Linked DNA regions of Tamandua tetradactyla. The protein of the gene in region 1 interacts with the protein of each later gene in a pairwise test. Links are inferred from orthologs where the notes say so. Each region holds a gene or a part of one and is shown on either strand. Other genes may lie near its edges.

Evidence for each region.
Region 2: the proteins of CLNS1A (region 1) and SNRPD2 interact in binary tests that used the Homo sapiens proteins (3 or more experiments, as listed by UniProt). The link is inferred for Tamandua tetradactyla from reciprocal best matches to the Homo sapiens genes CLNS1A and SNRPD2.

Annotation. Positions count from the first base shown.
Region 1 is NC_135334.1:67,192,688-67,209,287, forward strand, and holds the start of CLNS1A (methylosome subunit pICln), read left to right. Parts: upstream 1-8,482; 5' UTR 8,483-8,586; coding exon 8,587-8,711; exon of another isoform or gene 8,712-8,752; intron 8,753-16,600. UniProt on the Homo sapiens protein: Involved in both the assembly of spliceosomal snRNPs and the methylation of Sm proteins.
Region 2 is NC_135342.1:15,331,629-15,348,081, forward strand, and holds SNRPD2 (small nuclear ribonucleoprotein Sm D2), read left to right. Parts: upstream 1-9,447; 5' UTR 9,448-9,576; coding exon 9,577-9,578; intron 9,579-10,988; coding exon 10,989-11,168; intron 11,169-13,347; coding exon 13,348-13,522; 3' UTR 13,523-13,620; downstream 13,621-16,453. Other genes in the region: QPCTL (glutaminyl-peptide cyclotransferase-like protein), read right to left, coding at 2,716-2,861, 4,270-4,386, 4,839-4,938, 5,040-5,192, 6,951-7,232, 7,905-8,048, 8,552-8,758. UniProt on the Homo sapiens protein: Plays a role in pre-mRNA splicing as a core component of the spliceosomal U1, U2, U4 and U5 small nuclear ribonucleoproteins (snRNPs), the building blocks of the spliceosome.

The DNA.
Region 1 (16,600 bases):
ACAGGGTGATCTCTGCTGGCCTGATCTCCAGGTCTCTGGGTTCCAACAACTTTCCCCAGGGTGATTTCTTTCTGCATCTCCAAGGGCCTGGGCTGAGCTGCGAGTGCTGAAATGAGGTATGCTAAGCTGCTTGGGCTGTGCTACTGTTGTGCTGTCTCATTTAAGCACCAGCCAAGTAAATCAAACATCATTCATTGCAGCAGGCATGCCTTCTAGCGGACTGCAGGTGTAATCAGCCACAGATGAGGTTCACATGCCATTGGTTCATGTCCACAGCAATAGAACTAGGCACCTTCACCTGGCCAAGCTGGCAAATGAATCTAACTACTACAGTGTAGTTGTATTAGTTAGGGTTCTCTAGAGAAACAGAATCAACAGGAAATATTCATAAATAGAAAATTTATAAAAGTGCCTCACGTAACCGTGGGAACGTAGAGTCCAAAATCTGTAGGGCAGGCTGTGAAGCTGATGATTCCGATGAAGGGTCTGGACGAACTCCACAGGAGAGGCTCACCTGCCGAAGCAGGAAGGGAACCCATCTCTTCTGAATCCTCTTTAAAAGGCTTCCAGTGATTAGATTAAGCATCATCATTAAAGAAGACACGCCCCTTGGCTGATTATAAATAGAATCAGCTGTGGTTGTAGCTGACTGCTCATGATTTAATTCTGTGAAATGTCCTCATAGCAAAAGACAGGCCAGCACTTGCCCAACCAGACAAACAGGTACTGCTATCTGGCCAAGTTTACACATGAACTTGACCATGACACTCTCCATCTCCACTGTTACCATTAATATAAGCAATGTTTATAAAATTCATACCTAATACACAATTTAGGATAGTCGTGTCTACTTAAAAGTGTTCTTTGTTAAGCAGTTATTGTCTGGATATTGCTTCATGAATATGTATATTTTCAAAATATGAAAGTTAAATTGCAATAATGTTTGAAGATTATAAAATGATGGTGTATCTTGTTTCTAATAACATAAACAATTTTGTCTTTCCTTTATCTTATTAGGGAGTTATATGTCAGTGTTTTAAAATGCCACACTTCTTGGGCAGGCCACGGTGGCTGAGTAGGCAGAGTTTTTGCCCGCCATGCCAGAGACCCAGTTCGATTCCCAGTGCCTGCCCATGCGAAAAAAGAAAAAGCCATATTTTTTATAGATGCATAACCTGGTATTTAGAGATAAGAACAAAGCCTATCAGGTCAGGATTAAGGAATACATTGCCTGTATTTTAGAACTTCACCTACTCTTTGAGACCAAAGGAAGGAAGGTTTATTTTGTCTAGAACCTAAATTCTCAGGAGCACATAATCTAACTCAACCTGTCTGGATAGGTCATTTAAACAATCCAAACACAGGGAGCCCAGAATAAACATGAGAGCCTTCATTCCTATATGGCTTAATGTAATGCCTGGCTATATCCCAGAGTATATTAAGCAGATAATCAAGAAGTATTGGCAAAGTCCCTTGAGGGATAGGAGAAACAATATGGAACTATTAAACTTTACCACCAGGGAAACCCCAGATACTATGCTAAACATTAGGGACACCCAAATTAATAGGCCAGTCATGGATTTTTTAAAAAAAGTTTTAAACCCTTTTTTTATTGTATAGTATAACATATATACAAAGCAAAGAAATAAAAAAGCAATAGTTTTCAAAGCACTCTTCAACAAGTAGTTACAGGACAGATTCCAGAATTTGTCATGGGCTACCATACGATCCTCTCAAATTTTTCCTTCTAGCTGCTCCAGAATATAGGAAGCTAGAAGGAATAAATATATATTTTTTCATTTTTACATGTCTTTTATAAATTTTTTTTATCATCACAGTTGACGTTTTTTCCTTTGTGTGTGTGTGTGTGAAAAATAACATATATAAATAAAAGCAATAAATTTCAAAGCACAGCACCACAATTAGTTGTACAACATATTTCAGAGTTTGACATGGGTTCCAATTCCACAATTTTAGGTTGTTGCTTCTAGCTGCTGTAAAATACATGGGGGTGGGGAGTGGGGGGGGCAAGCCCTTGATCTTCAGCTTTGCTCTTGTGAAACTTATGTATATAGTGGAAAAGTTTAGCCTTACCTATAGGTATGCCTAAAGAGTCACCTCTAGAGGACCTCTTTTGTTGCTGAAATGTGGCCTCAGTCTAAGCCCAACTCTGTAAGTGAAACCATTGACCCCTCCCCCCCCCATATGTGGAACATGACATCCAGGGGTGAAAGTCTCCCTGGCAGTGTGGAAGATGACTCCCAGGGATGAGTCTGGCCCTGGTACTATGGGATCAACAATGCCATTCTGACCAAAAGGGGAAAAAGAAGTGTAACAAATAAGACATCAGTGGTTGAGAGAATTCAAATAGAGTTGAGAGGCTACTCTGGAAGTCACTCTTACACAAGCCTCAGTTAGACATTGCCACTATCATAACTTGCCAAACCCCAACCAAAACCATTCCTGCCAATCCTAAAGGGTAGCTAGGGTGCTATATAAAATTCTACAAAGGTTCCAGGCACTAGGGTAACTTTCCAGAAACCTGCAACTTCCAGATGGGTTCCCAGACCAGACAAGTCCTGAAATGCAGAGGGGCCAGCCTTTCCAGAATATCAACTAGTTCCATCCCTCTGTCATATATTATCCACAGCCCCTTCCAACATGAAAAGTTAGAATGGCCATAGCCCAAGTACCCCTAAAGAGTGAGAGAAAAATCAAAGGTGATGGTGGAGTTATACAGAGAAGTTCGGGTTTAACAAATGAGTATGAGTGTTGAATCAGTATACTGATACCTCTTTTAGTCTCCAGTACCTTAGAGCAGCTAGAAATAAAAACTTAAAATTGTGGAATTGTAACCCTACCAGATTTTTAAATCTGTTCTTGACAACTAATTGTTACAATGTACTTTGAAATTCATTGCTTTTTTGTACATGCTACTTTTCACAAAAATTAAAAAAAGAAAAGGAAGAGTATAATAGAGAGGATAGGATTTAACAAATGAATATGATTGCTGAATCAATATATTGATACTTCTTTTGGTCTCCAGTGTCTTGGAGGAGCTAGAAGAAAAAATGAAAAATTGTGGAACTGTAACCCATACCAAACTTTAAAATCTGTCAAACAACTACTTGCTAAAATGTACTTGGACTTTTTCACAACAGGTTTGCTACCAGAACATAGGTGTCATGAAAACCATTGCTATATCTTAAAACAAAATGGGAAAGGAAAAGACTCATATCAACATTGTTGCTTTTGGCCACACAGATTCAGGCAAATCCATCACAACTGGCCATCTGATCTACAAATGTGGTGGAATCGACAAAAGAACGACTGAAAAATTTGAGAAGGAAGCTGCTGAGATGGTAAAGAGGTCCTTCAAGTACGCCTGGGTCTTGGATAAACTAAAAGTTGAATGTGAGCATAGTATCACCATTGATGTCTTCCTGTGGAAATTTGAGATCAGCAAGTATTATGTGACCATCACTGATGCCCCCAGGACACAGAGACTTTATTAAAAACATGATTACAGGCACAGCTCAGGCTGACTGTCCTGTTCTGATTGTTGTTGCTGGTGTTGATGAATATAAAGCTGGTATGTTCAAGAATGGGCAGACCCGAAAGCATGCCCTTCTGGCTTACACACTGGGTGTGAAACAACTAATAGTTGGTGTTAAAATGGATTCCACTGAACCACCTTACAGTCAGAAGAGATATGAGGAAATTGTTAAGGAAGTAAGCACCTACATTAAGAATATTGGCTGCAACCCTGACAGAGTAGCATTTGTGCCAATTTCGGGTTGGAATGGTGACAACATGCTGGAGACAAGTGTTAATTCGCCTTGGTTCAAGGGATGGAATGTCACTCATAAGGATGGCAATGCCAGTGGAACCATGCTGCTTGAAGCTCTGGATTGCCTCCTGCCACCTACTTGTCCAACTGACAAGCTCTTGATTCTGCCTCTTCAGGATGTCTACAAAACTGGTGGTATTGGTAATTCACACTGTGCCTGTGGGCCAAGTGGAGACCGGTATTCTCAAACCAGGCATGGTAGACACCTTTGCTCCAATAAATGTTATAACTGAAGTCAAGTCTGTTGAAATGCACCATGACTCTCTTCCTGGGGACAATGTGGGCTTCAATGTCAAGAACATGTCTGTAAAAGATGTTCATCGTGGCAATGTGGCTGGTGACAGCAAAAATGACCCACCAATGGAAGCAGCTGGCTTCACTGCTCAGATGATTATCCTGAACCATCCCAGCCAGATCAGTGCTGGCTATGCACCTGAACTGGATTGTTACACCGCTCACATTGTTTGCAAGTTTACTGAGCCGAAGAAGATTAATCACTGTTCTGGCAAGAAGCTGGAAGATGGCTCCAAATTCCTGAAATCTGGTGATCCTGCCATCATTGATATGGTTCCTGGAAAGCCCATATGCGTTCTTACTTTCTCTGACTATCCTCCTCTGTGTCATTTTGCTTTTCATGATATGACACAGACAATTGCTGTGGGTGTCATCAAGGCAGTGGACAAGAAGGTTGCTGGAGCTGGCAAGGTCACCAAGTCTGCCCAGAAAGCTCAGAAAGCTAAATGAATATTACCCATAACACCTGCCACCCCAGTCTTAATCAGTGGTGGAAAAATGGTCTCAGAACTGTTTATCTCAATTGGCCATTTAAGTTTCATTGTAAAAGAATGATGAATGATAATGACGTATGGTAAAACCTTCAGAAGGAAAGGAACGTTTTATGGACCATTTGTTTTCGTGTGGCAGTTTTAAGTTATTGGTTTTTAAAATCAGTACTTATTAAATGGAAACAATGACCAAAAATCTGTCACAGAATTTTAAGACCTAAACAAAGTTTAATGAGAAACCTGTGTCTTCTTTTGAAAGGTCAACCTTCAACAGCTTAGGCTAAAGACTCAACCTATTTCTGGTGTTCATTTCTGCTGAAATTTGATAGTTCAGGATAAAGTTTTGTTAGGACAGAAACTAAAGTGTTTTTTTCCACCTGTAAGGGGAGGGATCATAACTTAAACTGTGTGTTCTTGTTTTGTTTTGTTTTGTTTTTTACATGGGCAGGCACTGGGAATCGAGCCCGGGTCTCTGGCATGGCAGATGAGAACTCTACCACTCAGCCACCATCACACTGCCCTTAAGCTGTTTTAAGTACTTACTAAAATACAGTGGTTTCTTGGTTGCAATCTTGGCTAGTATGGAAAAGCACAGGGTAATTTGTAATGTTTATAAGCTTCGTTAGGCCAACTTCTGTAATGAAGGCCATATGTTGCATATAGAATACTTTTGTGTAGTTATGTCTCTATCAATTATTGAGTAAATGAGTTTATTGTATCTAGATTCTAGGAAGAATAAAAGGTGCTGGAAGTTGAAAAAAATTCACTTGGAAATGTATTGCTTTTTTGTATATATGGTATTTTTCACAATGTTCTAGTTTGCAAGCTGCCGAAATGCGATATACCAGAAACGGAATGGCTTTTTAAAAATGGGAATTTATTAAGTTGTAAGTTTTAAGTTGCAAGTTTACAGTTCTAAAGCTATGAAAATATCCAAATTACAGCAAAGATATAGAAATATCCAATCTAAGGTATTCAGAGAAAGATACCTTGGTTCAAGAAGGCCGATGACGTTCAGGGTTTCTTTGTCACCTGGAAAGGCACACGGTAAACATGGCGACATCTGTCAGCTGCCTCTCCAGGCTCTTGTTACATGAAGCTCCCCAAAGGGTGCTTTTCATCTCCAAAGGTTTCTGCCTTTGTGGGCTCTCATGGTTCTTGTGGCTCTCAAACTTTTTTCCAAAAATGTTTCCTCTTTTAAAGGATTCCAGTAAACTAATCAAGACCCATCTGGAATGGGTGGAGTCACATCTCCCTCTAATCAAAGGTAGATACTCACAATTGGGCAGGACACATCTCCATGGAGATAATCTAATCATGTTTCCAACGTGCAATATTGAATAGGGATTAAAAGAAATGGTTGCCTCCACAAGATGGATCAGGATTAAAATATGGCTTTTCTAGGGTACATAACCCTTTCAAACTAGCACATACAGTTTAAAAAGTGCTTGAAAAACGCCATGTTGTATGATATAGGTATAAATAAATTCTTTAAAAGAGAAAAAAAAAGAAAATTACAAGTAGTGGAGAGGATGTGCAAATATAGGAACACTCATCCATTGTACATAGGATGTAAAATGGTGCTACTGTGGAAAACAGTTTGATGGTTCCCCAAAAAACTAAACATCGAACTACCATATGATCCAGCAATCCCACTTCTAGGTTGTTTGCTGGCTGCCGGAATGTAACACACCAGAGATGGATTTGCTTTTAATAAAAGGGGATTTATTTCATTAGTTCTTCAGAGGAAAGGCAGCTAACTTTCATCTGAGGTTCTTTCTTACGTGGGAAGGCACAGGACGATCTCTGCTGGCCTTCTCTCCAGGCTTCTGGGTTCCAACAACTTTCCCCAGGGTGAGTCCTTTCTGCATCTCCAAAGGCCTGGGCTGAGCTGTGAGTGCTGAGATGAGGTTGTGCTACGTTGTGCTCTCTCATTTAAGCATCAGCCAATTAAATAAAAAATTCATTCATTGCAACAGCCATGTCTCCTAGCCGACTGCAGATGTAATCAGCAACAGATGAGGTTCAGGTACCATTGGCTCATGTCCACAGAAACAGAACTAGGTGCCTTCACCTGGCCAAACTGACAACTGAATATAACTACCACATAGGTATACACCCTAGATAACTGAAAGTAGGGAGTTAGATAAATATCTGTGACTAGTGTTCATAATAGCATTATTCATAATAACCAAAAGGCAGAAGCCACCCAAATGTCCATCAGCAGATGAATGGATAAACAAAATGTGGCATATACACACAATGGAATATTACTCAGCCTTAAAAAGGAATGTACCACACTACAGAAGAAAATCTATACTCCTTAACCAGATATTCAAAATCCTGCACAAGCTGCCCAGGGCAACCTCTTCTGTACCCATTCTTGGGAAAATACAGACAAATACTTGAGTAGCAGGCGGAGCCTGAAAACGCAAAACCTTAAACGAGACCATGAGGAAAGAGCAAAGTAGACGCCAGAGCTCCGGTAAGCAGGCGGGTAAAAAGCATGTCCGAAGCTCGGGAGAAAGAGATATTAGACTAACAGTCTTCCCCCAGCACAACCATGCCTCAAAAGACGGGGAGCACGTGCAGCACCTCCCAGCAGCCACCGAGGCTCCTCGATGTCCGCAGGAGGAAGGATGAAGACGCGCACGAGGCCAGCGCTAATCCTTTTCAAGGATAAGAACTATGCATAAAGGTGGAGGACAGAGGCGTACAGGAACATATTTTATGTACACTGTTCAAGTTAAGCTTTAAAATTAAGTTAAGCGATTATTATAGATTTAGGACATTTAAGCACCGTGGTATCGACAAAGAAAACAATATGCAAACTCTATAAAGACAGAAAGCAGAATACAGGTTACCAGGGGTCAGGGCAATGGCGATGGAAAGTTAATGCAAAATAAATGTAGGGTTTCTGTTTGGGGTAAAGGGAAATTTATAGTAATGGATGGCGGTGAGGGTACTACAACATTGTGAACGTGATTACTCCCACTAGGTGAAAAAACATTACAATTGGTGGATCTGGATATCTGGGGGTGGGGGTGGTATGCTGGACTTCTCTATATGAGGTTTGTATTACTTTTGCATCTGTCCTGTAAGTTTTTAATTATTTCAACGTAAAAGAAAGTTTATAAAAGGAGCGAAGGAACCAGTAACACAAAAATGTGCCTGGCACATAACACTCGGCTAAATTTAGCTACTATTATGGTTACTTTTAAAGTTTTAATTGCTCTTAATTATTTACTCTTTAGTGCCTAAGTAAGAAATAAATTAAGAGTTCCAAATCTAGGGGCTTAATTCTTTTCCTTTCAGCGGCCCATCTCCTTACTAACATAGGCTGTTCTTCATCCGGAGTCAGTTACCTCTTCTCTCTGCGCTGGCCGGCCCTCCATTGACGTGGGGATAGTCGTTCTGCACGAGGGTGGTTTCAGGACCTACACTGATTTCTGGCGCTTGGCTGCGTACAGCTGAGATGTGAACAGTCGCGAGTGAAGCAAGAACAAGTGAGAAGCGCCCTAAACCGAGTTTAGGGGCTTTCTGACCTCTCAAGCGTGTGGTCTCTGCTCCCAAAGCACTCCGTGTCTCAGGTCTTAGTTTCCTCTTTTGTAGAGAAAAGGAATACTAATCTTTCTTGTGCCTCCTCTCTAAAGAATGTTGCAGTAAGGATCTAGAAATAGGATGTCATCGAGAAAGCTTTATTACCCTAAGCCTAAAGCCTCAGAAAGGGCGAGAAGTAAAGGGGGCGTCCGGGGACACGCCCATCACGGTCTTCGCAGACCTCCGGGTTTCCTAGAACTTCTCGTCTCTATGGTCAAAAACGTTGAAATTTCCGCCCGTCTAAGTTGCTCTTCCGATGTTAATGCCACCACTTCCGGGGCAGGACGCGGTGAGATAGATTTGTTATCGCCTTCGCTTCCTCCGGCTTGTGTGTTGCTATTCCCTGCTTCAATGAATTTCCTCAAAAGTGTTCCGCCACCCGGCCCCACCGATGGCCTTCGGCACCAACTGCCAGATACCGAAGCTGTATTAGACGGGAAAGGTTTGGGCACCGGCACCCTTTACATCGCTGAGAGGTGGGATCCTTGTTCCCGAGCGCGTCTTCATCCTTCCTCCTGCGGACATCGAGGAGCGTGGGTGATACCTGACCTCGGTGGCTGCTGGGAGGTGCAGCACGTGGTCCCCGTCATTTCGGGGATGCTTGTGCTGGGGAAAGACTGTTAGTCTAATATCTCTTTCTCCCGAGCTTCGGACATGCTTTTTACCCGCCTGCTTACCGGAGCTCTGGCGTCTACTTTGCTCTTTCCTCATGGTCTCGTTTAAGGTTTTGCGTTTTCAGGCTCCGCCTGCTACTCAAGGATATGTCTGTGTTTTCCAATGAACGGGTATAGAAGAGGTTGCCCTGGGCAGCTTGTGCAGGATTTTGAATATCTGGTTAAGGAGTATAGATTTTCTTCTGTGGTGTGGTTGGGGAAGGAACACTCCCAAACCCACGCAAGGCGGGGTCGTATCTGAAGGGACCCGACTCCCACGTCTGGGTCCCAGAAGAGATTGCTTCTTTCATTGGCCACCTGGCACACCGTGCTTTCACATCAGCCTTATCTTAAATCTTAAATATTTGCTTGTTTTGAGTCTTGTCTTATTTTAAAACAAACAGAAGCCAAAAAAAAAAAAAACAAAAAAAAAAAACCTAAGCACAGTAATGTCGCAAAATGTGAGTACTTTAAATGTGTCCTAGCAGTTGTGATGTTACTGCTCCATTTTATGCACTCATTCCAATTTCATTTTTAATGGTTTGGAAGCCATTTTTGTAATAAATAAATGTTTATGCTATTCAGTTACTGTAGCATGCTATTCTGGATTAATAAAAACAATTTAGTATTACAGATAAAAAACACGGGTAAGTGTTAAAGATATAATGAGGCAGTTCATGATGAATAGTTAGGTGACAGGTACAGATAGTGCTGAGGAGGGGGAGGGGTTCAGAGTAGAGAAGAATCATAGGGATAAAGCAGGTTGTAGAACAAGGTCTTTAAATTTGAACTAGATGTCAGTACTTCAAACGGTCTGTGACACTCTGAAGTTATGTGTAGAATTTGTATATGTGCATTTTTTTTTTCTGATTTCTGGCATGAGATTCTTAAGGAGGTCAGTGACTCCAACAGGCTTAAGTAGGACCTATCAATAAGGAAGGATGAGCTGGAGAGAAAGGGTGATTAGTATTGCAGGGAGAGATAGGGAAATGCCAACTAACAGGAGGAAGTTTTATGGACCTTCAGGTAGAAAGCAAATTCTGAGTTGTTGATTGCAACATGCAGATGGACCCTCAGGCAGATATCTGCTCAGTAGGCCCAGAACTACACACATACACTCTTTTATTTAAAGGATCTTATGATACCATGTTTGTGTGGAAAGGTTCAGTCCCATCTTTTCCATCCCTTCCTACTATTCTTTATGTTCTTTAAAATAAGAAAGAAATGGAAATCCTGGTGAATTAGGCAACCTTTATTATTGCTTGGCCTGATCTTTACTGTAAACACAGTTTTACTCTGCCAGCTACTATTTTCCCTTCCCTCTTGGATATATAAAAGGTGGTGTTTAAATAGCAAACTATGTTTACCATATTTTTCTTTGGTAATCTTCTCAGGAACTTTGATTTTGGTCACTTCCATGCTTTCCAACTCAAACACTAAGTCCTCCTTCCTGCTATGCATCCGTTATTTGAGTCTTTCAAACTTCTAAATTCATTACCCATATCCCTGGTCCAGATTTCCATACATTTCAAGCTTCTCTCCACCTTTACCCCTTCCTATCCCTTTCCCATATGATTGTAGCCCTTTATTTAGGCTGTAGAGGCTTTTAATTCTCTTACCTTCCAGGCAGCTCTTTCTCAGTCATTTTTTGCTGGTTTCTTCCACATCTCTCTGACTTCTAAATGTTAAGGTGCCCAAGTCTCAGTCCTTACTCAAAATAAAACCAGAGACCTCACAATGGCCTGCAGGGTCCTGCATGATCTAACTCTGTCTCCCCCAGCCTCTCTGACCTTATCTACTAATTTCCTCTTCATTTGTTGTGCTCCAGACATACTGGTTCCTTGATTTTTTCTTGAAATTGTCATGCATGCTCTCACCAAGGTCACTTTCCACCAAGCATGCTCCTATTTTGGTGCCTTTGCACTTAATCTTTTCTGTCTGAGAAATCCCCCTAAATGTCCACATAGTTTGCTCCTATACTTTTTCAGGTCTTATAAGTGAACTGTTCCCTTAGTCACTCTATATAAATTAGCTTCCCATTTCCATCTCTAGAATTCTTTATCTCCCTTACCTGCTTTATTTTTTTTTCTATAGTACTTAACGACTATCAGGGATATACAAGTATCCTTTACTATCAAAATCTGTTGGGTTCTTGGACAGTTTTCTGAAAAGTTTTTTCCATGAATTTCCTCCCATACTAGCTCTGAGATGAGAATTTTTAGCAAAACTGACTGAAATATAAGTTTTCTAAAATCAGTTTCTTTATGAATTTTCAGCCAAATTGGCTCAGTAGAGTTTCATTGAATTTGGCTTAAATCAGCAGTTTTCTAAAAGTCAGCTTTCTATGTGATTTTTAAAAAATCTTCCTATATCTAATAAGCATGTCAAACATAACATTACAGAACCAAATTCCTGTTTTCTTTAAAACTTGATCCTCCTTTAGTTTTCACTATCTTCCTTTCAGTTATTGAGATCAGAAACCTTGAAGTTATTCTTAACTCATCTCTTTCTTTCAGACTCACATAGCCAATCTGCCGAAAATTCTGTTGGTTCTGTCTTCACAATATATCCAGAATTTGATGGTTTCCCAGAAGTTTAACTGCTGGAGTGGTGACCAAGGTAGATGTGCCTTCATAGAACTTATGGTTTAGAGCAGGGGTTCTTCATCCTTGCATGTCTGGAAACCTGTTAATTCAAGAGATCCATGAATTAGGATGGGAAAAAATTTTCATCATTATTTTAAGTAAACTGTAACCCAATATAACATTTTTTCAATTATGAATGTAAGCAGCAAACTGCAGTAGTGTTAGCAGTGTTCATCTGTGACTGTCAATAATAGAAATAATTATTTTCAATTCAAATTAGAATTGTTGTAGATACCTTGAAATATTATTTATGTTTGTCACTGCTTTGCAAGTGTGGTACTTAGTAGACCTGGTGCTAGATCTTGTTATTTAATGCAGTAATAAAGAAGAACATATATAACTATGTGACAAATTCATTTTTATATCAGTATTTTGATAATTGTGTTTAAATATAATTGGTTTCCTTTGTAATATTATGTATTTTATGCACTTAAAAATATTATTCTAAAGCAGTATCCTTAGGCTCTCTTAGACTTCCAAAAGAGTCTGTATTAGTTTTATGTATGTATGTATGTATGCATGCATGCATGCAGGCAGGCAGGCACGCAGTGGAAATTGAACTTGGTTCTCCGGCATAGCATGTGTTAGTTTTATATGGCTACAAATTTAGCAATACAGATTTATTATCTCATAGTGTCTGGAGGTCAGAAGCCTGGCACAGCATGGCTGGATTTTCTGCTTAGGGTCTTACCTAGCCAAAAGATATCATCCAGGCTGGGTATTTTTCCGGATGTTCAGGGGTTAAAATATACCTCCAAGCTCATTCAGATTATGACAGAATTCAATTCCTTGTGGTTGTAGGACTGAGGTCCTATATGTGGTCCTCTTCATCTTCAAACCAACATGAGCATACTGAATCCTTTCCAGCCCTCAAATCTCTCTGACCTCCTCTTCTACTGCAACTCTTGTCTACAGTCAGGAAGTTCTGTGCTTTTTCAGAGCTCATGTGATTACATTGGGCCCAGCCGTATAATTTGAGATCTGCAAAATCCCTTTTGACATGTAAAGTAGCATATTCATAGACATGATACCAGGGGCCCAAATTCTGCCTACCACAGAATCCAGGGCACAAAACAAAATGTAGAGAACCTTTGCTTTAAAAGGAAAATTTAAACAGTGAGCGAAGGTTAGACTTTTGACCAGTCATTGACATAGGGAATATGGAAAGAAAATCAAGTTTGGGGTGAGAGAAGGATAATGAGTTTAGTTTGAACATGTGATGTGTAGAAACATTAGATGTATGAGTCTGAATCTTGGGAGAGGGTATACATCTATATTAAGAAGTGAGTCATGGAATAAGAGACTTGAGGAAAAAGAGGTTGGAGGAGTGATCAAATAAAGTAGAATCTGAAGAGTATCGTTAGGTATTGAGAAGAAGCTCTTGGGTGATATTTGAGAAAAAAGTTTAAGTGGTGAAGAGTGCCATGTAGATATAACCATAGCCCTTTCACAATCCTTTTTGTCTGTAGTATCTCTGTATAGTGGCTCTTCTTTCTAAAATGTAACTACTTTTTGGGAAAGCCCTATACTGGTTTTTTCATCTTGAAAAATATCAAGCCTAAAGCAAAGTTACAAGCGTTATTCATTAATACCCATATACCTGTCAAAAAATTCATCAGTTGTTAACATTTTGCCACATTTCTTTTTCTCTGAGCTGTTGAGAGTTAGTAGCATATATCTTGCCATTATCACCCATGGGTACTTCAGCATGTATCTCCTAAGAACAAGGACATTCTTCTGTTTAACCATAATACAACTATTACACTCAGGAAGTACAATTCTTTTTAAGTTCTTATTTGTTAAAACAAAATTCCTTGTTATTTCACTAGCAGAAAATATATTTTTCTTAAAATATGCATCCAAAAAAGAATATAAGTACTATTTAAAGAATTGTAACTAAACCATCCACCATTGAGGTTAAAAATAGAACATTACTAGTACCTTAAACACTGCTGTCATTCCCCTTTACCCACTGTTAGCCTTACCTTCTTTGTCTTCTTCCCTTTTTTGTTCTTTTCCACCTAACATTTCCAAGTTGTAGTAGAATCAATGTCTCAACAAATGGGAAGGCTTCCTAGAGGAGGTGAGAAAATGATGATAAACAGTTAGCTAAGTTAATGAGATGGGGTCAAGGGAAATGTTCCCATTAGAAGAAACAGGTGCTCAGAGGTAAGGGTAATAAACAGTTTTGTGTGTGCCAGGATAGATACACATGCATACATATATACACATACATACACACATATACAGTGTGTGTGTATGCATAGTCTAGTAGTTCTTGCGTTTGAGGAAATGACACAGAAAGAATGATAAGATATAATAAAGTGGAGAGGTAGCAAGCCACGTTTATGACGTTTGATTTTGGCCTTTAGGCATTTTGTTTTGTTTTGGCATAGACAGGTACTGGGAATTGAACCTGGTCTCCAGCATGGCAGGTGAGAGTCTGCCACTGAGCCACCATCTCACCGCCCACGCTTTAGGCTTTTGGAAAACTGTTTTAGAATTTTAGGCAGAGGGACAGAGTCAGATTTGGTTTTAGGTGGTTTCTCAGATGCATATTCAGGCTTATTTTCAGAGCTTAGTTTTCATAGGAAGTCGACTTTTTCCGAATAAGGGAATAGAAGCATAAATAATTCAAAGTGAGTAATTTAAAACAGTTATGACCTAGAAGTACTGCTTTTCTGTATCTATTCCAAAATTAATTTTAAACCAAGTAATAAGCCAACCCAAATTCAAGACTTCTCTTACCTTCCTGTTCTGTTCCTCACCCTATACCAGGAATAAAGAACTTGTATAAGTTCATTAGAGTTTAGCAAAATATTTCTTTACTGGCTTTCTAATTTTCGTGTTTCCATTTTGTGACTCATGGTTTCTTTGAGACTAGGTATAGTTAAGTAGATACTTGGGTTTGGAAGGATGTTTCTTCTAGAATATATGCAAAATTGTAAATAAAAATCAGAACTTAACTGATAAGAATAGGTGTTACTTTTAAGTGTGGAATTTGCTTCTGTCTTATACAGTGCATAATCCACTTCTGTGTACAGAATTATGAGAGCGCCATAGGAAATGCTGTGCTGAGATAGCATTTACATCCTGTCAGCAGTAAGGAACTAGAGTAGTTATGTGCTTTGTAAAGCAAAGGCTCTGATTTCTGGTTCTGGATATTTGAAATGATTTTTGGACACCTGAAATTGAAATGTGCTCCTTCTGAATTGTGATAATGCTAGTCAATTTTTGAGGCAGGAAAAAGGCTGTTTATTGACCTGAATTAATAAGGGACTTGGACTATTTCTGTGATACACAAACACTTTCATCTACATATGAAGAGGAAAGCAGGACTGGAAGAGAGCATCCATCCACAGCAGTATAATTACAATAGTAAAATCATGTTTGTTTGGGAGTGCATTCTGGAAAGTCATTTCTAGAACTTTTATCACCTTCAGCTCCTTAAGGTTTATCACTTAAGCCTCAGGTTTTCTTTTTAAAATAAACATTATGGATGTAAGACTTTCCAAATAACAGTTCGTAATTTTCTCCTTTCATCTTGTTTTTTTTTTAAGTACACTATCAATAAATTGTAGTATATTTACAGAGCTGTACAACCATCACCACAATCTAGTTCTGCCTTTGCCTTTTATAATACTTTTGATAACTGAGAGTCATGTGTTATACACTTGTATAAGACATTGATTTCCTGTAGGGGGACTCTTAGTTTCCTAGGTTGCTCAGAGAAGATACCATGAAATGGGTCGGCTTAAACCATGGGAATTTATTAGCATACAGTTTGAGGCTGAGAAAGTGTCCAAATCAAGGCATCATCGAGGCAGTGCTTTCTTTCAAAAAACCAGCTGCCATCGATCCTTGGCTCTTCTGCCATATGGCAAGGCACATGGTGGTGTCTGCTGGTCTCTCCCTTCTCTTCTGGGTTTCCTTGGCTTTCTCTTTGTGTGTGCAAAATTTCATTCTCTAAATTTCATTCTATTGGAGTCTCTAAAGGACTCCAATAACAGGATTAAGACCTATTCAGATTGAGGCAGATCATACCTTAACTGAAGTAGTCTCCTCAGAATCCTATTTACATTTAGTTCATACCCACAGGAATGGATAATTCAAGAACGTGCTTTTTTGATGTATACATAGCTTCAAACTGTCACAAGGACTGAGGTGAAAGTCAGCCTCCCCTTACGATGAATGTGAATGTCTGAGAAAAGTGTCATTATTCCTGTCTGGGGGAATCCTACTTCCTTTGTATTTTTTGCTTTTTCCTGGTTAAAAGTTAGACAACCAGGCCAGTTAGGATTATACAGAAAATAGAATATGAGGGTGTTATTTGTATTGTTTTTAAAATAACCACTTTATTGAGATAATTAGTAGTAACTAGTTACCACTAATGGGTACAGAGTTTCTTTGGTGGGTATAAATGTCCTTAGATTGATTGTGGTGATGGTTGCACAACCCTGTGAATATATTAGAAATCAAAGATTTGTACACTTTAAATGGGAGAATTGTATGACACGTGAATAATTAGTTGCTGTGTTCTATTAGCTTTTATTGCATTAACATTTTTTGAGTGTGACTTCTTTAGGATCTTTTGCTTACCTTTTTTTTGTTGTTGTTGTTAAGTGGACAGTTCCAGATGGGTGAAGTATTACCAAAAAATTAACCAGCCCCACTCAAACTCAGCGTACTGATTTTATTTTGGTGATGTTTGTTATAGACAAATGCACTAAGATAATTGCATTTGACCACATTAGAGGGGACTGGGTTTCTTTTAAAGCTGCAGAATAATTGAAGGGCTTTATAGTCTACCTTTTTTTTTTTGCATGAGAAGGCACCAGGAATCGAACCCGGGTCTCAGGCATGGCGGGCCAGAACTCTGCCTACTGAGCCACCGTGGCCTGCCCCATAGTCTGCCTTTTAAGGTGATAATTATTTTCTAACCAAAGAAATGAGGCTGCTTTCATATGTATGTCATTTAATGTAGAATTAGTGGAGAAATTAGTGATTACCATGTTTCTGTTGCATATTTATCTGCTGAGCAGTATGCTAATCATTTTGAAGAATGTT
Region 2 (16,453 bases), on another chromosome or scaffold:
GTGGTTAGGCAAACGTGAATGAGAATAACCCACAAATAAACTTCTAGAAATGAAAAACAAAGGTAAAACTAAATGGCTGGGTTAAACAGTATTATATAAGACACTGAAGAATGATATATTGAACTAGAAGCTAGGAAAGAAAAAATCCACAGTGCAGCACAGAGACAAAAACAAACAAAAGCCCAGAAAGAAAAGATATGGAGGGTAAAGTAAGATGGTCTAACATATATTTGCCACTCCAGAATCAGAAGAGAATGAGATGAAGAATATTAGAGATGATGTTGAGAATTCTAAGCAAATAAAAGATGCCAGTGAGCCCCAGTGAGTCATCAGCAGGATAAATAAAAAGAAGCATATACCTAGACATGTGGTAGGGAAAGTCCTCAGCTATGTGACCTTGGGCAACTGTCTTTACTTTACTTCTCTGAGGCTCAGTTTCTTTTTTTTTTTTCCCCAAGGCTCAGTTTCTTGATTTATTGCACAAGTGATATGTAAAGATATCACATCCTGAGCACTCAACAGTTTATCAAACACATCTAGTGGCATCTTCAGTGTGAAGCTAGGGGAACCCCAGTTTGGGATATGAATGGGAGCTGCATGGCCTGCTGGCTATGGGACTTGGTGACACACTGTGCCAAGCACCAGCAGCCTCATCTGGAATCCAAAGGAATTTAAGGATGTGAGCACAAAATGTGCATAAAGCCCCTTATCCAGTTCCTGGCACATGGCACACTCAACCATGGTGCCACACGGGGAGGGAGGTGTAGAGGGACTGAAATATAGCTGGGCACATTGCTTCCCTTCTCTGCCACACAGGGACAATGGCCTTTTCCTCCCTCCTGGGGTGACCATGAATCTAAGGTGAGATGGTGTCCTGTAAGAGTCTGGCCCCATGCCTGCTTACAGGACATGAATACTATGTCCCTGTGGTTACCAGACCCTTCTGCCACCCTGGCTGTAGATATCACTGTCAGCTTCCCTTTCTGAACCCTGGAATTCTGCTAAATCTTCCTCTGGAAGCCATTAGTTTTTCCCTTCCAGCTCAACCCCAATCTATCTTGCAGTCAGTTTAAAAGTACCAGGAGCTGACTTCTTGTCAGCAAACTGTTCATCCAGCACAGGTGGGTTTTGGAAGGGAGGTAAGACCTGGGATTTAGGAACACAGCCGTGGGTGAAAACCTGGGCTCTGAAAACGGTGCCCAACTGCCAGCCGCTTCCCCGCACAATGGGAACGGAAGTTGGACCTACCTCAGGATTTGAAGGGGAGAATAAACGAGTTGATGCATGTAAAGTGCTTGTGGTGCCTGGCACATGGGAGGTGCCCAATAAGTGCCACCTACTATGGAAGAACCTGAATTAAGCACCTTCTGTTTTATCCCCTGGTTTGATATCCTGAGTTTCAGCCTTTGCATCCTGATGGGTTTCCTCTAGCTTTGAGCTGGCTCACAAGGCTGAAGCTCACCTTCACTGGTGAATTACCTCTCATCCAGGTGTCCCACTGCCTACCATATCTCCATCGATGTCACAAAACCAGCAGGGACTGAGCTCAGCATGGGCCTCTCCTAAGTCCTCCCTTTACCTAAAGTTTTTTGTTGAGTACGTTTGCCCTGCAGCTGTGAACACACCCAGCTGTGTCCCTAACAGTCCCAACTTTGCTCATGAAACTCCCTTGGGGCTTGTTACAGAGTCCCAGTCCCTCCCCAGAGTTCTCATACAGTAGGTCTGTAGGGGGGGTGGGGGTGGAGTAGAGGGTGGTCAGAACCTGGGAATCTGCAAATCAGGTAAGACTGGGAAGTACTTCAGGACTTCACTAGAGTTGCAGTTAGACCCATCGTAACACAAACCTATACTCACAGCTGAGAGGAAAACGATGGTCAGCCAAACCTTGGCCTAGCACACCATTCCTCCTATAAATGCTCGAACAGTCAAAACCCAGTGTTTCCCAAATTATGTTCTGAGGTACCTTAGTCCTATGAGGTGCTTCCCAGAGAAGCAGTTCCATGGTCCAATACTTTGGGAAAACACTGCATTCTCCATTCTCTCGAAGAATCTTTTGTGCGGTGAAGAAACGTGTTTACCATTATCTCACCCCACTTTGATCACTGATCCTTTTTTACATGTGATACTATTGCCACTAATTCTGCAGAATATGATTTGCAGAAACATGGGTTTATTGCCCATTGGGTCGGTCAGAATCTGTTTTTTTTTTCCCCAGATATTGCTTCCATCTCCTCTGTTCCTGGCTTTACAGGCAGCTCCTCTGTGGACCCCACTTGATATATCCATATGGGAGTTAGGTTTGCACTGGGTGCAGCACTGAGTCTGCCATTCTGGAGAACGAAGTGACATGAAAACACAAGCCGTAAGCAATCCAGTTAGCTGGTGGTGGTCCAGGCACCAGTGTACAATTACCCAATTCTAGAAAGGCAGACAGCATCTGATCCCCACCAAACTTCAGACCAAGGGTTCCCCTTGGGGCAAGGGGCCAAGCAAGCCTTAGTCCTTTAGTCCTTGCCCCCACTAGTGGTCTCTTCCAAGTCTAGGAAGGGCAGCTGCTTGAGACAAAGGAAAGAGGGTCTTCCATCCAATTGGAGCCAAAAGTCTAATAAAAACCCAGCACATCTGAAAGGTGCCCTGCCTGAGCGCCGCTGCCTCCAGGCACCTTCTGGGGGTTTCTTCAGAGCAGCTTCTCCCCAGCAGGGACCAGCTCGACAGCTAGAGCCCCAGATACTCGGCCAGGAAGACAGCAAAGATGCGGCTGAGGTTGTGCACAGTGGGCTTGTGGAGATTGGCCTCGGTGTCGGCAGATGTGTGCCAGACGGCGGGGAAGGGGATGGGGATGAGGTGCAGCACTGGGACCCCTGCCGGAGAAAGGAAATAGTGGTCAGGCTTTGCCGGTGCCGCCCCCCCCCCCCCCCCCCCGTTGACCTTGGAAACCTGGCCAGATAACCTTGCCACCTCTCCCACCACACACAATCGCCTTCTACATACAGAAGATGCACTGGTCTGGTGCTTTAAGAACTCTGATCAGTGGTCTGAAGTGTGTGAGGTTTCTTTTTTCTTTCTAAACCAGTATATTGTTTTCATAGCACATATTAGAGAAAATTAAACTCAAAACTTAATGGACTGTGGAGAAGTCAGAAGAAGGGAAAGGGTCCTTGGCCCTTCTCTTCTTTAATAGGTAATACTTATATAGACTACTTGCTCTATTCTAGGACCTGGTCTGAGGCTTTTCCTCTTGTGCTCTCTCCATACTCTATTTTATCCTTACAGCAATCCTTTTAGGGTGGTTCTATCATTGCCTGCATTTTACAGATGTGGCAACTGAGGCACAGAGAAGCCGAGAGAGTGCTCTGCCTAAAGTCCCACCTCTAGTAAGCATCAGAGTCAGGATCTGAATGCAGCAGGCCACCCCCAGGCTCCAGATTCTGGGCTCTTAGTCCCTGCACCACACAGGGATCCTATCCTCAGAGTACTTCCCTCTGCATTCATCTAGATTTGCTAAATGTTCTGTGTGCTGACTTGGGAAATGCTCGTTGAATGAATCAATAAAGAGGGCAGCATTGCACGGTATGCCTCTTTGTTGAATAAGTAATTTATAGAATAAGAATTTTTTCTATAATGTTTTTAGCCCTTTTTATGTACCCTACAATGTCCTAAATGAGCATTTTATATACCTGATCTCACTGAATCCTCATAACCTGTGATTTATGTATATGTGTCTGCAGGTATACAGATCTTCATTTTCCAGAAGATGGCTCTCTCTGGGCCCCCATTTGCTTTAGGTCAACCCAGAACTGTCCCTTTCTGAAGCCTACATTCTTAACCCTTCTACAAGATGTTTTCAACCGTGGCTGTGCACTGAGATCACCTGGGAGCTTTGTAAAAAATAATGCAGATGCCCGAGGTGGTAACTCAGTACATCTGAAATAGGTTTCGGCATTTTTCAAAGCTTCTTAGGCTATTCTGATCGACTGTCAGGACCTCAAAAGGCAAGAGCTGGAAGAAACTGTAATCATTAAGGTACAAATAGTAACAGCTTGTGTTCCTGGAGGTTTGCTCAGTGCCAGGCAGTGATACATTCGGTGTCCTCCACCTCCGAGGTAGGGATGGTTATAACTCCTATTTCATAGTTGAGGACTGACAGCCCATAAGTTCAGCAACTTGCCTCCAGTCCCCAGGGCTGGGAGGGGCTGGGGCCAGGTCCCACTTGTGGCTCCCTCAGACCTCAGACCCCACCCTCCACCCTCCAACCTCCCCAGCAGGTACCTCGGTGGAGGAAGGGCAGATGGTCATCTTCCACAGAGCTGGGGGGCTCCCCGGGCTGGAAGTACATCACTTCCTGGGGATGAGACTGCAGCAGGTTCAAACGGTGCAGGCGCTTCTCTGGAGGTGGCAGGGATTAGAGAGAAAGGGTGAGCACCTCCGGGGTCTACGGCTCCCCTGCTCACAAAGCAGAGGAGGGCAGGGGGCCAGTGGGAATGAATGCCAGGACACTTTACTGCAGGCTTGCTATGTTCTTGTCTCACTGAATCCCTCTGAGGCAAGGTGGGAGATACCCCTGTTATCATCACCATCGCCCCTACTTTATAGACAGGAAATTGAGTGCAGGGAGATGAAGCCATTAGGGCGATTTATACAGCCAGTGAGAGGCAGAACCAGGATATGAACCCTGGGCTGTGCAATCCCCGAGCCCCTGTTTTGTAATTGGACATGGCTGCTGTGGGATTGTTTTGTTTTTCTGCCCTAGTTCCTTCAAGGGAGAGAACAGAAGCCATTATTGGGGGACAGGCGCTCCCATATCCCAGGCCAGCGCCTGCCTCCCCCGTAGCCCTTACCAATGTTCCTCAGCCGATGGAACCAGCGGGCCGTGCGGGGAAAGTGACTGTAGAAGGTTGGGTTGGGGGCGCCCAGGAGATCAAGAAGCACAAAGAGCTCCTAGGGAGAGAGGCCGGGGCTGGAGGGGCCGGGTGCAAAGCCACCAACCCTGCCTCACCCTCTGCCTCCCTCACCGGAACCGGAGTGGGCCCTGGTCTTACGATAGCCTGGATCCTGGTGGGACCGGGACTGTGGGGTTCGGATGCCATGAGCTGGGCCAGGTGCCGGGACCCATAGAGGGAATCCTTGGGCCCCCACTCCTTCAAGGCCTCTTCGCCGTCCAGGAAGAGGAGCTGCAGGGTCACCGGGGCTGCCTGTAGGAGAAGGTATCAGCACCCACCCAGTGCCAGGTCCGCGGCCACAGCCCACCCATGCACCCTGTCCGCTCACAAAATTGAATAGGGCAGACTAGGTCTCCTCACTTGTAGAGCATGGTGGCCAAGGGTACCCGCTCTGAGTCAGACTGCCAGGGATTCAAATCCAGGCTCAGCTGCATATTAACAAAGCAGTCATGGACAAGTTACTGACTTCTCGAAGCCTCGCTTTCTTCACCTGGAAAATGGGGTAAATTCCTAGGGTAGGTTTTGAATCCAGGTCTTAGAACAGTGCCTGGTACATAGTGACTACAAAGGGTTGGCTCTGATTATTATTGTTATTCTTCAAGCTCAGTTTGGCAGACGAGCCAGACCCAATTATTCATTATATAATGAATAACTATACAAACAGTGGACTGCAGCTAGGACAAATGCTGCCAAGAACTACAGTGTCCTGAGAGCTCAGGCAGTGGGAGAGCAGGTTGGGAGAGAGGCCTGACCTGGGGAGGGTTCCTGGATCTGGGGCAAGGAGTTGTGCCCTGAAGGTGAGAGGGAGCTGGCCTAAAAAAAAGTGAATGGGGGAGCAGTGGGAAGAGAGTTCTGGGCAAAGAAATAGCACAGGGCAAGACTGGGCCCAGGGAAGGGGCCAGAGAGGTGTGAGAAGAGGCCAGAGGGATGGCAAGGGCCAACAAGTTCAGCTTGAGCTTTGTTATGGGGGCACTGGGGAGCCAAGGTAGGGATTCGAGCAGGGAAACAATGTGATGAGATCTGTGTTGTCATTCGTTCATTCTACACATCTGTACTGACGTCCTACTCTACATCAGGAGTTGTTCTAGGCCCAGGGAACAAAAGAAGTCAACTCCCTGCCCTCAGGGAGCTCACTCTTGTTGGGGTGATGCCAGGCACTGTTCTAAGACCTGGATTCAAAACCTACCCTAGGAATTCACACCATTTTCCAGGTGAAGAAAGTGAGGCTTCGAGAAGTCAATATGAAGTACAGGATGGTGACAGGGAGGGATTTTAGGATGTCTGGGAAGGCCTCTTTGAGGAGGTGATGATGGAACAGATCCCTGAATGAAGCGAGGGAGCTAGCCAGGAAGGTATGAGAAAAGCATGCTGCAGGTGCAAACTGGAGGGCAGAAGGCCAGGGCATAAGGTCCTATTCACTGCAATAGGAATGTATGCTGGTTACCCGCTACTGTAGGCTCACTGGGTTCCCAGGTCTCATTTAACCCCTATGAGTCGAGGCAGTAGCTATCCCAATTATCTCATCATGATGTTCATTTTACAGATGGGAAAACTGAGGCTCAGAGAGTTGAAGCCACTTAACTCAGGTTCACAGAGCTGGTAAGAAGCAGTACCAGGATTTGGACCCAGGGCTTTCTGATTCCAGAGCCCATTCTGTAATCACTATACTTGAACTGCGATCCTGGCAGCTAAAATAGCAACTGCAAAGGCCCTGAGGTAGGAGTGAACATCGTGGGTTTAGGGGAAACTGAGAAGGCCTGTGTGGCTACAGCAGAGTAAGTAATAGGTGAGGGTGGGAGATGAGATTGGAGAGGCAGCAAAGACTCTGGCTTATGCTCTGAGTGACACAGAAGCCATCAAGAGAAGGTTGGGACAGAGAAGGGACAGGCTCTGACATTCAGCAAGTGGGAGGACCCCTGTGTCCCTGTGCATGAAGGCAAGAAGACCGGAAGGATGATAAACACCCAGGCAAGTGAGGGTGGAGGCAGCCCACCCCACCCCCCTCCTCACCTGCTGCTTGGCCCTGCTAAGCTCCAGGTCAAGGGCCTCAGCCAGCTCTAGCAGCAGGGCACAGGGCACAGCCGAATCCGTAGCCCCCACAAAGGGGGCCAACTCAGATGGGAAGAGCTTTGAGTCATAATGGCAGGCGAGGGTGAGGTGGTGGGCAGCCCGTGGGTCCAGTGTGGCCACCACGTTGCCAAAGTCCACTGGCCCCAGGGGTGTTGAGGCTGTGAAGGGGTCCAGCTCCACATGCCAGTCTGCAGTCAGTGCTAGCAGCGAGGCCTCCAGGAACTAGTGGCAACAGAGAGGCGGGAGTGTGGGTCAGGGGAAGGCCATGACCTAAATCACGCAGAGCAGCCAGACCACCTCATATTCCCTTGAAACACATCTGCTGAGCACCTAGTGGGTGCCAGGTATGGGGCAACCCTACCTTTTGATACCAACAGGATTAATTACTGCCCACTCTTCAATACCAGACCCTATTCTATGTACTCTACAGAACTCTGTGGGGTAGGAACTGACATTGACCCCATTTTACATATGAGGAAACTGAGGCACAACAAAATAAGAGACTAGTTCAAGTTCACATTCCAAGCGGCTAAGCTGGGATTCGAACCCAGACCTGTATTCAGTGATGCCTTACTCTTTCTGGGAGGCAGTACTGGGATATTACAGAGCCAGCCTGCTTCGTTTCAACCCCCAGGACTACCACTTACTAGCTATGGAACTCGGGCCAAGTATATAATCTCTCTGGGCCTCAGTTTTCCCATCTGCATGTGAAGATTGTATTGGTGACCAACTCACTGAGCTGTTGCTTATGCTTTTGATGGGGACGGTACACAGGGCGTTTGAATCGACTCAGATCAGCCCCAGCTCTGCCCCTTAGCTGCTTTGTGATCTAGGGCGGAATGCTCAGTTCCCATTCCCGGGGCGAGTTGGGGACTGGGAGGTGGGGCCCTTTACCTTTCTGACTTGGAGATTGCCTGGGCTGCCCGGGGTTCGCACCACCAGCAGGGGGCGCAGATAGGTGTCCCAGAGACGCTGAGGGTCCAGCTGCCCCACCACCCTCCGCAATCCGGCTTCGGGAAGGTTTCCGATCAGCGGGGTCTTGAGAGGAAAAGAGGGGGTGGGGAAGACCAGCGCGTAAGTGCAGTCCCCACCGAGACCCTAACCCTGGAACCCTGGACATAAGGAGCTCCGGTTCCTCTTCATAATCCTTGGCTCCTCGTGAAAGACTTCTAGGATAAATCCTAGACTCAGGAATATCCCTCGAGGCCCATCTGGTCCAGCCCACCCTAATCCTGGGGGGCGGGGGGGGGGGGAATCAAGGCCCCGAAAGAGAAAGGGACTCTTCCAAAGAGATGACATTGGGATTAGAACCACGATCTCCCAACTCCCAGTCTTATCACTCGCGATCCTTCCTCTTAAGGGAGAACCACAGTTCAAGCCCGAAGCCCGATTCAGCTGGCAAGGGGCATTGGCTCGAATGACGGTGACGGCAGCACCTGCGGCTGCGGCCGGACGATACAGCCACGTCAACCCAAGATCCGAGGAAGGAGAGGCGGAGAATGCGGGGCCCCTGCCATGCCCCAACCCGCGCGGAGCCTCACCCGCAGCTCTCGGCCCAGCGTCGGCTCCCCAGGCCCGCTGTGCCAGCCGCTCCAGATGGTGTAGAAGGCCGAGCCCACGGCCAGCGCCAGCAGCAGGGGCAGCAGCTGCACCCGGGGCAGCAGGCGGCGCGTGGGAGGCGAGGGTGGCTCCAAGAGGCCGCGTTCCCCGAGCCGTAGCCGAGGCCGTCCGCGGCCGCCGGGACGCATGGCAGCTTTACCTGGCAAAGGGTCCAGGACCGCGAAGCTCGTTCAGGCCCAGCCAAGTCCCTTCCCACGGAACCACCGGACCAATGAGCATCAAGAGCGACTGCATCGTCCCACCCCCCGCAGGCAGTAAAGCCAATGGGAACTGCCGTTTTGAGGATGGGCCCCTTGAGGTTTTGGGGTCGGTTCCCTTTGGGCTGCACAACCCAAAAGGGATCGCGAAAGAGGTAGGCTCCGCCTCAGCAGAGGAGGAGAAGCCAACAGAAGAAGCGTTTGATCCTTGACAACATCCGCCCACCTAGAGGCAGGTCCACGCCCCCCCCGGGAGTTGGCTAAGAATTGGTTGCGCGGCGTGGAGGCCATCAACCGAACCGTAAAGGGAGTTTCCGGGAGGGCGGGAGGGCAAGAGGGCGGGGCCCACCCCTGAAGCCGGAAGCGGATTGGTCACGCGGAGGTCGCGCCTCCGAAAGCAGAGCTGGCGGGTATTTGGAATTGGCGTGTCGTTTTCCCCCTTCAATCTATCCTGTCCTACAATGAAATGAATTGACTCGGACCCCCATTATTTTTCTCTGTGTCGTCGAGACCATTTGCCCTTTAGAGCCCTGAATGGCCTCGAACTACTAAACAGGGTTTTAATCCCACCACTGCGCCCGGCGGACGGGGTTTGCTATGGCAACAGGCCACGCCCCTACCGCTGGTTCGCGCAGGCGCCCGTGGAAGTAGGTCGCAGGAAGCGGAAGTCCCGCCTCTCTCTCTTTCTGTCTGCGGAGGGAAACGCAACACGCCTGAGAAGGGAGAGGTTCCAGGACTCACCTACTATCATGTGAGGCCCGGCCCGGCCCGGTCTGGGCGGCGGGAGTGGGGTTGGGGGTACAAATTTGTCTGTTGGGAAGAGCCCTTTTCTGATAGCGAGCTGGGGGCGAAGGTAGAAGTTTTATGGGTAAAGTGGCGTATGTTCCTTCTGGCGAGTTTGAGGATGGGATTTGGGCCTTTTACTGATCATGAGTTCGGGAGAGGAAGCTGCCTTTTCAGATAACAGGCTAGGGACTTTGCCAGATAACTGGACTTGCTAAGATGAATTTTAAGGGGAAGCGATGTTACAGATAAAGGACCTGGGGAAAAGTAAGTGCCGACTTCAAGGAAAAACGATTTGAGGTAAAGGACTAATACTGGAAATTTGACTTTGGAAACAAATGGCTTTTCATGGATAATGAATCACAGGAGTGATTTCATTCATTTATTCCTTCAGCAGATATTATGGGGTGCTCATTGTGTATCAGGCACTGCTTTATACGCCTCAGTGAATAAAATAGAACCCCCACCCCGCAAAAAATTCCCTGTCTCAGTGCAGCTTCTGCGTAAGAAGGCAGGCAATAAATACAGTAAGCAAATAAAATTTAAATGATCAGGGCAGTGAATCAAGAAGCCGTAGAGGATGATAAGAACAATGGGGTATGCCAATTTTGAGAGAAAATAAATTTAATAACTAACACAGAAGACCACATTGGAAAGCTAACAGCAGAACAAAAATCTGAGACAAGTGGGGAAGCAAACCACACAGCTATTTGGGGGATTTCCAGACGGAGGAAAAAGCAAATGCAGAAGCCCTAAGATGAAAGTTAGGGGAATCTCTTCATGGATCACTCAAGAGACCATTGCAGCTGGAGCAGAATGAAAGAGGGGGCAGGTATAGGGCATTGTGAGCACTTTGGAGTTTATTGTTTACACTGAGATGGGAGCCACTGGAGGGTTTCGAAGAGTGACATGGTATAGTTTGTTGGGGACATGGGGAGATGCAGGAAAACCAGTAAGATCTCAGGAGGGCGATAATGGAATTTTAGGCCAGAGTAGTAACCATGGTAAGAAATGTTCAGATCCTGGATATGTTTTAGAGGCAGATGGCAGGATTTGGTGACAGGTTAGATGTAGGATGTGAGAACAAGGAGACAAGTTGACATTCGATTATTTTTCCCTGAGGTATGGAGTTGGGGAAGGCTGTGGATAGAGTGGGTTGGGTGGTTCAGTGGTCTGGAACTCAACCTGTGACATGCAAGGTTGGAAATGTCTGTTAGGGATCCAGGTAGTGATGCTAAGAGGGAGGAGAACTGGAGCCCTAAGCGGGAGAGTGGTTTAGTTGGAACAAGTTTGGGGGAGGTCACCAAGGACAAGACCATAACTACTCATCCTCCACCTCCAACCCCTCTCACTCACGGTCCTGTGCTTGCCCCCTCAGGAGCCTCCTCAACAAGCCCAAGAGTGAGATGACCCCAGAGGAACTACAGAAGCGGGAGGAGGAGGAATTTAACACAGGGCCCCTCTCCGTACTCACGCAGTCTGTCAAGAACAACACCCAAGTGCTCATCAACTGCCGTAACAACAAGAAGCTCCTGGGCCGTGTGAAGGCCTTTGACAGGTGAGCACCTGGGTCCTGGGAGGTGTTCTGTGCAGGCCTGGAGAAGCAGCCCCAGCTCCAGCTGGAGGAATCTGAAGACATGTGCATCTAAAACCCCCATAGTGTGGCTGTCTCTTGTTGCCCCTCCAGCTGTGCAGTACAGTGGTTATGGGCATGCACTCAGGAGCCAGCCCCCACCTAGGTTCCTGTCTCAGTTCTGCCTCTTAGCAGCCATGTGACCTTCATCACATGATTTCATCTCGTCAGCACAATGGCAATAATCATGGTGGTTGCAGAGAGTCAGTAGATTCAAACCAGTTTCTGCCATTTCCAAACTGTGACCTTGAATGAGTCCCTTCATGGCACTAAGCCTCTATTTGTACTCCAGAGACTAGAGATGATAGTAGTATTTCCCTCCTGGGTTTGTGGCAAGGATTCATGGTTAATATTTCTAAAATGCTTAAAGGAGGATCAGGCATATGGTTGGGTGCTTGATAAGTGGTGGTTTATATTTTTGTTATTCTTTTCTTTCTCTTTCTCTCTAGCTTTCTCCTCCTCTGACCCTCAGATCATCCTTCCCTTACCCAGCCTTCACCCCAATACACATTTGTACACCAACACACTCACACGTATATCCGGGGGATCCTTTGTAATGGTAGTTTTTGTTCGTGGACTTAAAAAACAAAAACAGCATTATTGAGACATAGTTGTATATGACAAAATTGTGATTTTCCACGCACTCTTCTGCCTCATTTCTCCCACTCGTCAACACCTAAGGGCAACACTATGAGTAACCTACCCCCACCCTCCAATCCCCTGGCCTTTATTTATTTGCTTATGTTACTTTCTTGCATGGGTAATACATACATGTGAGGCAAAAGTCAACAGCTACAAAGGATGCCTAGCCACCCTCCCCCAAGCCACCACCACAGCTCACTTCTTGGGTCGCCTCTCAGGGATGTTACTTGAAGATGACATCATACACATATGTGGGGTTTTAGCCTTTTTAAAATCACTGTTACTGTCCCACCACGCAGTTCTAGATCTCAGCTTTTTCAGTATTCATGAGATTAATATTAATTTAATATAATTAATTCATAAATGTTTCCATATTGGCACACTGCAGTTCTGCTTTTAACTTAATTTTTCCAAATTGGTAATATATTCACATGACTCCCCAAATAGTAAAGTTCCCATCCTGCCCATCCCCTATTTATCTAGGTCATCCACTGCCACCCTTCTCCAGATGTCTTCCCAGGGTTTCCAAATGTGAAGCAAACAGGTGGGCATTGCACCTGCTCATCCTCTGCCCTCTTTTCCTTCTAAAGATAATTTCCAAGCACACTATTCCCCACCTTGCCTTTTGCACTTAACAGTGTCTTCTGTAGCTTACTCCAGAGCAAGATACAAAGAGCTTCCTTGTTCAGTTCTTTTACTTTTTCTTTTTTCCTTACAACTTGAAAATATTTCCATCACGTGGATGAGTTTTGGCTTGGTTAAATTAGCAGCATCTTTAACAGTGGCCCTTTCCCCAGCTCCTTCAACCCTTTCCCCTACTTTATTTTTCCTTCACAGCAATGATTCAGCTGCTGACCGTATATCATAGATCTATTGGTTTACCTTTTTCTTCTTTTCCCCTTATGAGAATGCACACCCTACGAGGGCCAGAGTATTATTTTTTCCTCTTTTCCATATCCCTTGTGCTTGAAGCAGTGCATGTAACAAGTGCTCAGTGAACATTTGTTGAATGAACTTGTCTATTCTGTCTTTCACACATGCCCACCAGGCACCACAGAAACGGACAAAGCAGGACTGGAGTGGAGGGGTCACAGGTGGCCTCAAGCCCCAACCCCCCAGGAGCCTCAGGCCTCTAGAGAGAGGCAGCTCCTTTCTTGGCATCTGCAGACATACAAGTGGAATAATTTCTTTTTGCATTTTCCCTCTGCCAGGTTCTGTTCTAAGCACTTAGATAATTCTGTATTAACTCAGTTAATCTTCACAACAGTCCTGTGAGGTAGGTTTGATGATGGTCTCCGTCTTAGAGAAGAGGAAACTGAGGCACGGTCCTTGGCCCGAGTCCCAGCCTGGGGCCTGCTGAGGCAGGGTTGGAACCTGGAGGATGAGAGTCGTTCTGGGCAGAGTGTGGGCAGCCACAAGGCTCTCCCCTCACTCCCTGTGTGTCCCCACCTGCTCCCACCAGGCACTGCAACATGGTGCTGGAGAACGTGAAGGAGATGTGGACTGAAGTCCCGAAGAGCGGCAAGGGCAAGAAGAAATCCAAGCCGGTCAACAAGGACCGCTACATCTCCAAGATGTTCCTGCGCGGGGACTCCGTCATCGTGGTCCTGCGGAACCCGCTCATCGCTGGCAAGTAGGGGCCTCCTCCCCGCTGCCAACGCCTCCCTCTCCTGTCCTGCCATGACCTGCCCTCATGTAGAAAATAATAATAAAGTTCCTGTGTTTTTTTATTCTAGTGGCCGACTGTTCCCAGGGTTGGGAGTGGTGCCGGGCTTGGGTGTGGGGCTAAACCCTGGGGCCGGGACCGTTCCCCTACTGTGAAGTGAATGGGCAGGATGGAAATGGCCTCCCACTTCCAATGCAGGAGGAACTTCTGCACTTTTCTGTTTCAGTTTTTTCTAGCTTCTCATCGTTCTCTCCTTTCTCCCTGCCTTTCTCTCATTGAGTCTGCCTGGTTCCTTCTTTCAGTCTTTTTTTTTTTTTCCCATTTACCTATTCCACAAGCATCACCCGAGCACCTCTTTGGTGCCCAGTTCTGTGTTGCAATACTGGGGACACAGCAGTGCCCAAGAATGTCCTAGCCCTGCTCATAAACAGGAGGAACAGTTACATGTTTGGTGCAGTCAGGACCCAAATCCGGTGAGTGGTCATGGCTCGCTCCTGCTGAGCTATCAGCACCAGGCCCTGGGCTCAGCACTTGCCAGGTGCCCTCCCCACAACACTGAGGCAGGCTGTTCTAGTTTGCTAGCTGCCAGAATGCAATATACCAGAAACAGAATGGCTTTTAAAAAGGGAAATTTAATAAGTTGCTAGTTTACAGTTCTAAGGGCAAGAAAATATCCAATTAAACAAGTCTATAGAAATGTTCAATCTAAGGCATCCAGGGAAAGATAACTCAGTTCAAGAAGGTTGCTGAAGTTCAGGGTTTCTCTCTCAAGTGGAAGGGCACGTGGTGAACACAGAATTTCTCTCTCATCTGGAAAGGCACATGGCGAACACGGCATCATCTTCTAGCTTCTTCTGGCTTCCTGTTTTATGAAGCTCCCTGGGAGGCATTTTCCTTCCTGATCTCCAAAGGTCTCTGGCTTGTGGGCTCTCTGCTTCTTGTGGCTATGTCGTTCTTCTCTGCTCTCTCTGAATCTCCTTCGTTCTCCAAAATGTTTCATCTTTTATAGGACTCCAGAAACTTATCAAGACCCACCCAAATGGGTGGAGTCATGTCATCACCTAATCTAGTTTAACAACCACTCCTGATTGGGTTACATATCCAGGGAGATGGTCTAATTATAAATCCAAGCATACAGTATTGAATAGGGATTATTCTGCATTTATGAAATGGGATTTTGATTAAAACATGGCTTTTCTAGGGGACATACATCTTTTCAAACCAGCGCACAGGCACTGCTATTTATTGCCTCCATTTTCCAGGAGAAGAAACTGACGGAGAGGTGATGTTGCTTTCACAAAGGCACTGCAGCCTGTGAGTGGTGGAGCTGTGAGTCAAACCCACCTCGCTCCCAGGCCTGTGGCTTACCACCCCCACCCCGCTCCAAGCACTGCTGCCCCCTAAATGACAATTACCTTTGAGAGAAATGCTCTGATATACATGGGGAGATAGAAGAAGTAGAAAAGGGAGGCTTTATTGTGGGGAGGGATAAAGGAAGATCCCTGTCTTGCTCGGACTCACTCACCCCCACCCCCACCTTCTGCCTTCCTGCACTTCTGTCTCTTCTCCAAATAGGCAGTACAGGGGTCCACAGGCCTGAGGTCAAACACTTTCTTAGCTGCAGAAGTTGCAGGCTGAGTACCCTGTTGGCCTATCTGCTGCAGAGCTTTGGGGGTAAAGCAGGAGACCCTGCAGCAGGGAAAGATTATAAACATTCACTGAGGGGCCCACATATAATTGGAACAACCATTCTGTAGAGTAGGTACTAGAGTCTCCCCATTTTGCAGATGAGGCAACTGAGGCCCAGAGATGGTAAGTAACCAGTGTCACCCAGTTAGAAAATAATGGGGGTGCATTAAAACCCAGGAACCAGGCTCTCAATAGCAGTCTTTTTTTTTTTTTACATGGGCAGGCACCGGGAATCGAACCCAGGTCCTCCAGCATGGCAGGCAAGCGTCCCCACCTGCTGAGCCACCGTGGCCCGCCCTCAATAGCAGTCTTAACTTGGGTGCAGCCACGGTATCCTCACGTAAAATGGTGGCATGGTGGTATTGCAGTAGGGACCCCCCTGAGGATTGGATTATGTGCAGGAGCCGGGGCAGTCCAAGCCTTGGAGTGTTACAGTCCAGGGGTTGAGCCCCTGCCCCACTTCCTCCTAGTTGTGGGCTTGTTCTCACTGAGAAATGGAGATTGTTATCTGTCATGGTCAGGTTCATGTGTCAACTTGGCCAAGTGGTGGTACCTGTTTGTCTGGTTGGGCAAGTGCTGGCCTGTCTGTTGCTATAATAACTTTTCATAGAATTAAATCATGACCACTAGGCTACATCCACAGCTGATTCCGTTTGTAATCAGCCAAGGGGAGTGTCTTCTTTAATGAGTGATGCTTAATCTAATCACCGGAAGCCTTTTAAGAAGGATTCAGAAGAGACAGGCTCTCTTCCTGCTTCAGCCACCGAGCCTCTCCTGTGGAGTTTGTCCAGACCCTCCATCGGAATCGTCAGATTCACAACCTGCCCTCCAGATTTTGGACTCTACATTCACACAGTTACGTGAGACACATTTTTATAAATTTTATATTTATGAATATTTCCAGTTGATTCTGTTTCTCTAGAGAACCCTAACTAATACAGTATCCCTGCCTTGCCGGTTGGCAGCAGAGACCAGCTCTAGGCACCTGCTTGGCTGATTCTTAACTTCCCCACCTCCTCACCCCATCTGTTTTAATCACTAAAGCTACCAGAATGCAGCACACCAGAGATGGATCGGCTTTTATTAAGGAGATTTACTTAGTTACAAATGTATAGTTCTTCAGAGGAAAGGTAACAAGCTTTTGTCTGAGCTCCTTTGTCAACCGGAATGCACGGGGGTGATGTTCTGGCCCTCTCTCCTGGGTTATGGGTTC